Linked DNA regions of Caenorhabditis elegans. The protein of the gene in region 2 purifies or fractionates together with the protein of the main gene of each other region. This does not show direct contact. Each region holds a gene or a part of one and is shown on either strand. Other genes may lie near its edges. The genes, in order: sorf-2 and sorf-1.

Region 1 (3,931 bases), on a different chromosome or scaffold from region 2:
TCACGGGAGTACATTTCTCTAAAATGGTTCAGTTTTTCAAAGTTTTATTTCTACCAAACTATGGGTTTTCTAAGGGACCGGGGCTTCGAGTTGGAAAATTTTGGTATATGGTAAGTTTAGTAAGTTTTATGAATGAAACTTCAAAAAAAATTAATTTGCGACGATGCTCCAGTATCACTACAAATATATTCTGATATTACTAATATACAGTAATATCGGCATGGTCGTGTAAAATATTGGTAGCCGAGTTTACACTTTTTGAAACTATGATTTCCAAAAATTTGTGTACCTTAATTGATCATCTCCCTTGCACAGCCGATATTTCGTTCGATTTAATTGCCGAAACCCGCCATTTTCCTCGGAAAAATCACACACCCACGGAAAAATCGGATGATTATGTACTTCTCCACGAACTCGTCCAGTGATATCATTCAAATATGTCAGATACTGATAGTTTTCCCATTTTCTATTCGCCCAATTCGACGTTGCCTCATCAAGAGGTATCCTGGGGGCTCGCGGAGCTCGAAACTGCTCAAATATTGGAGCAAGAACATCATACTGAAGCCAGAAACTTGGAAGACAGCGGAAATGACGGGTTTTGAATTCAGCTGTGATCTTTCTCGAGAATAATTGGGAATATAGGTCGAGTAGATTTTTAGTGAGGAAATGGATTGTCTGAAGGCTTCCATCAGGAATATTACTGTACGAGTGTCGGAGTACAGTTTGAAAATCGATTCCTTCTTTCGTGTGACCATAAATCAAAATTACATTATCTGCCTCTGTATGAGCAATTGCTAGAATTGAAGTCATATTTGGAAGAATTTGAAGACGTTGAAAATTTATTGTCTTATGAGGTGCTTTTGAGCAGTTTATATGAGAAATTGAAAGCTTCTCTGCGATATTTGCCCATTTCGTGATCCAATCCAATTTTGTGCTTTTTGCCGGTGAGCACACTCCATTTTTGACTCGTTGGTGCTCTTCATAGTCCATTAGAGGGTCGAATGAGGTGTTGAGTCTGCAAAAATTTGAATAAGCTTTATAATAATTAGTTCAGTGGAGCGGGATCGCACATGGTTCAGTTTTCAAATTTCTTGGTCTCGACAATGAAAAAAATAGAGCGCCATGGCGCGTCTTTAAAGATTTCTGTAGTCTCAAATTCTCGTTGTTGCTTAATTTTCATCGATTTTTAACTTATAGTATTTTTTCCAATTTTCAAAAATGTATATATTTTTATTCAAGAAAAAATATCATGAAAATTTAAAAACTATTTATGAAAAATCGACGCAAAATCGCAACGAGAATTTGAAGCTACAGTACTCTTCAAAGGTTCATACAATTTTAATAACTATTTGTCGTGTCGAGGCCAGTTACAGTATTATCGGAGCAAAAGTTGCAGAATTTGGCATCTGGGTAATATAAATTTGCTCACAATTTTTCGAATTCTTTCTCGAGTGCCACAGCATCTGTGGATTCGTGAATCCAGGCCATTTTTGCCTCAAGTATGACATTTTCCAATTTCAGTTCATCATGTGGAGCCCATTGGGTGAGAATTTCTGATAGAGCATTTAGTTTTGACTCGTTCCATTCGAACTCTTCCTCAGGCATATATGGGTCTGAAAATCGATAAAATCATGATTATTAAATTTTTATAGTTCCCTAAAACGTGGCGGGACCCAACAGGAATTGATCACGCGCTTTTAAGATTAAAGTAATATGAACTCGACAAATTCTGAATTATTCAATGGAGAAATATTCAAAAACGTTGCAATTATCGATCTTTCCGAAGGCGGAGGTCAATTTTGAATTTTCTGGTAACCCAAAATCAAAAATAAACATTTCGACGGGAACGAGATGATGATTGTTGTATCGATTTTCAGGGCAAACATAAATAAACAAAACTTTTTTATTTATACTTATTTTTAAAGAGAAAAACAACAAAAAGAGAGTCAACAAATAATTCTTACTAAATCCTAAAAAATCGATAAAAATCGAATAAAAAGACATTAAAGTTCCAGGCGAATGGATGTTGGCAGGAAAATGTCCAATTTCTTCTGAGTTCCACGAATTGTGATTTGTCTATCCGTGAGTTCAGCATCTTTTGGTGTAGCGTTACTTGAGATGTAGAGGCGATGAATGTAGGACTGAAATTGGTAAAAATGAGATTAAGAATTGTTTTTTTTTTCAGAAAACTTTTTATAGAAAGTTCAATATATTTATCAGCAATCAGTTAAATTTTTAAAGATTCAGTTTTTGGCTAGACAAGAAAAGATTATACAATACAAAAAAATGCTCAAAATTTTTTAAATTAAGAATCGATATAATCATGTTCAAAACTTGATATTTAAACCATTTATTTTCACGAAAATTGTATATTTTCACTTTCGAGAAACTTAACAATTTAATTATTTAAGTTTAAAAATAAAATTTTTTGTGTCAATGACACTGGGTTTTAAAAATTTAACTGATTCAGAAAAATCTTAAAAATAAAGGAGGCATTAAAAAATGTAATAGATTTTTAATTTTTTTTGTAACTTTTTTTCTGCAAAAAACAGTGAAATTTCTAAATCAAATTTTCACTGAGATTTTAAATTGGAAGTTTTTTCTATACTTTAAGAATTAAATTGTTATGCTTCTCGAAAGTAAAAATATAGAATTTTATTGAATATCAGTTTTGCTCATTTTTCTCAAAATTAATGTTTTTCAGAAGAAAAAAATAATAAATTAAATTTCAAAACGCTGTTCTATTTTTTTAAAGAATTTTAAACACTAACCGGTAGAGCAGAAATCTTAAAAGCAACAGAATTTGCCAAGAAATCAGTTCCATAAAACTTTTCATCAGTACTTCTTCCAACAATTCCTTCAGAACATCGTTTAAATCCATCAGAAATTACTCCAAATCGTCCAATATCCGTACCGCCCATTCTGAATCGAATCTGTGAATAATCACTCATTTGTTCATTTTCGATAAGAAATTCAGCTCCGTGTGTGTCCAGTTCATGTTTTTCTCCGCATTTTTCGTTGATTATTCCCGTATAATCTTTTTGCCCTGAAAATTGAGAAATTTTGATTCAAAACTCGAAACTCGAGCAATAATTTAACTCTTGGTACCAGAAAATTAGTAATTCGAATTTTTTCAAATTGAATGCTTGGGGTTGTTTTTTTTTCGCAAACATTTAAATTTTAACATTTGAAAACTTTTTTTTAAAAAATCTAAATGTATTTCCCAATTCTGTAGAAAATTTGGGAGAGATTTCAATTTCAAATATCAATTCTCTTAATAAGAAAAAAATGTTAAATATATTTTTCTCTAAAATTCAATTTCCAATGAATTTTCAGAAATTAAAGGTGGAGTAGCGCCAGTGGGGAAATAGTTTTTAAACATGCCTATGGTACCACAATGACCGAATATCATGATAAAAAAATTCAAAAAAATTTTCTAAATTTTATATGATTCTTTGAAAATTGAAAAATCTCAGTTTTTGCCTAATTTCTATTTGAATTACCGCCAATTGGATTTGTTCGATGGAGCGCGCATGCACGTTTTTAAATTTATTTATTTTATTTTTTGTTATTTTCCACCGATTTTTAATGTTTTCGGTGTATTTTTGGTCGAATTTTAGAGAAAAAATCAAAATAATTGCAAATTTTCGATTAAAAAGCACGCTTATAGGCGTAAAAATGTAAAAGTAACTTTTTTCAACGATTTCAAACCTGAATTAATTAATTTCACTGATTTACATTTTTACGCCTGTAAGCGTGCTTTTTAATCGAAAATTTGCATTTATTTTGATTTTTTCTCTAAAATTCGACCAAAAATACACCGAAAACATTAAAAATCGGTGGAAAATAACAAAAAATAAAATAAATAAATTTAAAAACGTGCAAGCGCGCTCCATCGAACAAATCCAATTGGCGGTAATTCAAATAGAAA
Region 2 (3,931 bases):
TGAATACCTATGCAAAAACAACTTGACACAACATTTCAATAAACTTAAATGCTTAAGAAACAAAAGTTTAAAGCCGAATTTCGAAATAAGATCTCCCGAAAATTCTTAAAAACGTCTTTATGTAGGTTGTTTAATATTAAATAAAAATAATCTCAGAAATTTACAGCAACTTGGATACTGAAAAATGACAACCGCAAAAAATTCAAGACACTAAAGATAGGTGAGAAGTTGCCACAGTTATTTCGAAAATTGCTATAGTTGGCGGGAAACTTTTCGGAGGGTACAGTTTTGGGGGTTCAGAAGTTTCGACTATTTCCGGGTCCCATATTAGATTTTTTTAATTATCTGAGGACAGTAGTTGCGTAAGAAATTCAGTTTTTATTTACCCATCACATTTTCTTGAACATTATACATAGTAGATTCTTATAATGAAATTTAGTATTTTGAGTTAATTTTGACTTTTTTTGAGTAACAATATTACACATCGATAGTACATTTTCAAAGAACGTTTTTACAGGAAATACGTGTCTGCTAGTTCAATTTTACTTTTTAAACAAATCACTGAGCAATGAACAAACTCACTGAGCAATTACTGCGAAGTCGTCTATCAAATCTTCATCGAAATCCACATGATCGTTCTGTAAAACTTTATTTAAGATAACTTTTTTTCAATTCCAGTATCTTACTCCAGTCGGATCTCTTGCTATTCCTTCTACAATCGTTCCGATAACACTTGGAGAAACGTTCGCCAAACTTGTCGACAAAAAGTTATGAAGTGATACGTAGTATATTTCAATCCACGTTTTATCAAAATACTTTCTAAATGGCTCGGTGTCCTTTGCATGGTGGTTGTAGGGAAATGCTGAAAGTTGAAACAATGACCATTTTTCAAAAAAAAAAAACCGGCATACCAAACCAATCTGCCCATTGCGGATTGTTTAACGTAAGTGACGACATTTTCCGGAAAAATTCGTTGCATTTTGAAATGTTTTTCTTTTGAACACACCGAACGAGAAATAATCGATAGGCGCTGGCTTCGTAACATTGCGCTTGTTTTATTCCTTCCTGAAAATAATCGATTTAAAATTATTGATGGTAATAACTGTTAGAATAATTGAATTTTAAAGAAAAAACTGACCGTATCTAAACTATGAAAAACGCGGGCATTCCAAGACTCCCACATTGCGCATAAAGTGTCCACGTCGTGTTTATCAATGGCATCTGTCATCTCGTCAATGCATCTATCTACCTGAATAAAATGATCGGCATATTGATTTTTTGAAAATTTAAAGACCAAAAATAATTACCTGATAGTTAGCTTCTTTGGCAAATGAAGATTCCTGATCGAAAGCTTTCAAACTGGTGACCATCGACTTCGCCGCCAAATAGTTTCTGACCACTTCGTCGGTGGAGTTGGAAACATGGCTCATTTGGTTAAATCTGCAAAGAAATGTTTGTTTATGTGATTGCGAATAAAAAAGGTATTCAACATGAAAAATCAATTATATATGCCCTCAGAAAAAGTAAAATGCGCTCTAATGCAACACATTCAAGTAAACACACGAAAAGGTGTGCGTTCATCGATCGGTCGTCGTCACAAACAAAACAAAAACGAGTCCTGCCGATTTATATTGGCGGTTTAGCATTTTAATATGAGAAAGTTGTTATAAAAAAATATTTCACAATTGAAACACTTACTGAAGTAATAAATTAGAAATTCGCAAAAATACACGTTACAGAGCTATAATCATTGTCGTTTATACGTCAATAAGCGCCCAAAAAATGCCGGATCACTCCGAGTGGAGTACGTGCGCGATGGCCGAAGATTTGCGCATGGCCGAGCCGGGAAGAACCTTGTAAACGCGATGCATAAAAAAACAATGTGTGTTCAATGAATATTGGATAAAAACAAGACTATGCGACTTACGAAATTAATACCTTACATAAAATTTTGAAATTTTTTTCAGACTGAAGCAGTTTTGTTGATTCTGGGTAATGTTTGTTATTTTAAGGTCGGTTTTAAATCATAACATTTGTTGAAGAATCAAGTAAATATAGGAAATTTTGAGAACAATTTTCCAGTGGCAATATTTTGTTATTCTTTATATATTTTTTTAAAGCATTTTTTAAAACCCTGCATTTTTGAAAATGAATGAAATTTTCATGAACACATGTTTTTCTCATGATAATTGGTACTTTCCAAAGTCTCAAATTCGCACGCTTTAATTTTTTACAAGTAAACTCATTTTTAAAAATTCTTTAAATTTTTGATTTGGTGCTCTGTTGTTCAGTGTGAGATTTGAAAATTGTGTAGGTGTAATGAAACGTTGTATTACTTGTTTTACAGTTTTGAGAGGTGTTTTTGTTACCGTTGTATTCATTTGAAAGTTGGTAAAATTTCAATCGTAATATTTTGACACAGTCACGTACAGTTTTCAAAATGGTTAAAATTTTTGGGGCAGGTATACTACACATGCACTCTGAAATATTTAACTTTTATTTGATTACCATTTAAATTTGAAATTAAAATACATCAAAAAAAGCTCGTTGTTCAACCTTACCATGCCACTTTTCCGATGAGTGTTTTTATGCTATCAAATTTCAGACTGCGATTGCCCCCTATATATTCCAACCGTTGATGACTAGACACTTATCGTTTCATTTGTTCACGAAAAGTCCGAAATTTCACACCAAAAACAGATAAACAAACACCATTTTCACTGGCTTAACCTCCCTCCGAACAATCGGCGAACTAATCACATAAAGTGTGAAGCAAGAAAAAAAAACGAAAAATATCTAGGCTCATCACAGCCTCCAGTTCTCTAACTTTGCTGCTTCAATTTCATATTTTTCTTCCATTAGCTGTCACAATTGTTTCCAACGTGTTTCAATCTTTTCTGCCATTAGATCAAGTTTCTCAACATATTTCTTCTTATTTGCTTTGATTTGTTTCTCCTGATGGAGAAGAAGTATCGAAGTTCAAGTAGGTAGCAACTGATGAATGTGTTTTGCAGAGGCAACGTGTAAAGGCCGGAACGGAAATTGAGCCGGCAACCAGTTGACTTTTTACTTTTTTCACACATTTTTCTTCTCAGCTATCTTTGTGTTGAGAAAATTCACAAATGTGGCTTCTTCTATCAATTTTCCTATGTGCTCCATTCTTTCTAAACGGGTCGGAAATTAAAAAACGTAAGTAATGAAGCAATTTTTATTATAACTTTCCTAACTTGTAAAGCACTATGCGAAGTGATTCAAGTGGACTCGAAAAACAACAGTGATATGTTACTACCGTTAGCAATTATCACTGATATGGATAGTAAAACCAAACAGAAAGATAGCTGGTACAGTACTCTCAGATACGGGGCTCTGGCCTTTTCACAGGTAATTTCCGCAAAAGAAAAACCAGAAAATAAAAAAAATACATTTAATTTCAGAATCGAACTGCTTCTTTCATTCACTGGCTAGGTGGAGTTAACATCACATCGAATTTTAACTTTAACCAAAAATCAATGGAAATGAGTGATTTGAAAATTTTCAACAACAGATTATTATCAGTGGATGATAAAATCGGAGTTGTCTACTGGCTGAGAAACGGCACCGCAATTCCATGGGTAATCTCGTCAACGGGAAATGGATCTTCAAGTAGTCGTAAGTTGGTCTTGGTTGAAAAATTTAATGTTTACGAATAATACAAACATTTCTCACTGGGGTATTCTTTTACTACGGAATTTTCTCAGCTTGTTATTTTTATTGATGAGAGATTTTCACATAGGATTACTTAGGAAATATGAGATCTCAAGAATTCAATCCCATACACACATGTCCGTGGACTATTCAGAAAAAGGTTGGCAGTGAACATTTTGGGGGGTTTCCTGCTGGTCAGGGGAGCAGCAATTTCCGGCCCGCAATTCTGCAAAATTAGCCCGCAGCA

Evidence for each region.
Region 1: the proteins of sorf-1 (region 2) and sorf-2 purify together in Caenorhabditis elegans (affinity purification with western blotting, with the first as the bait; one study listed by BioGRID). This does not show direct contact.

The regions. Positions count from the first base shown.
Region 1 is NC_003281.10:5,324,305-5,328,235, reverse strand, and holds the start of sorf-2 (Suppressor of organelle fusion 2), read right to left. Parts: upstream 1,614-3,931; 5' UTR 1,606-1,613; coding exon 1,430-1,605; intron 1,016-1,429; coding exon 290-1,015; intron 19-289; coding exon 1-18. Other genes in the region: F52C9.3 (uncharacterized protein), read right to left, coding at 2,004-2,141, 2,772-3,046. UniProt on the Caenorhabditis elegans protein: Together with sorf-1 negatively regulates the levels of phosphatidylinositol 3-phosphate (PtdIns3P) to enable the conversion of early endosomes to late endosomes.
Region 2 is NC_003284.9:3,377,460-3,381,390, forward strand, and holds the start of sorf-1 (Suppressor of organelle fusion 1), read right to left. Parts: upstream 1,790-3,931; 5' UTR 1,699-1,789; intron 1,441-1,698; 5' UTR 1,431-1,440; coding exon 1,308-1,430; intron 1,250-1,307; coding exon 1,139-1,249; intron 1,066-1,138; coding exon 912-1,065; intron 863-911; coding exon 687-862; intron 639-686; coding exon 583-638; intron 1-582. Other genes in the region: ZK563.7 (Apyrase), read left to right, coding at 3,123-3,189, 3,236-3,381, 3,435-3,648. UniProt on the Caenorhabditis elegans protein: Together with sorf-2 negatively regulates the levels of phosphatidylinositol 3-phosphate (PtdIns3P) to enable the conversion of early endosomes to late endosomes.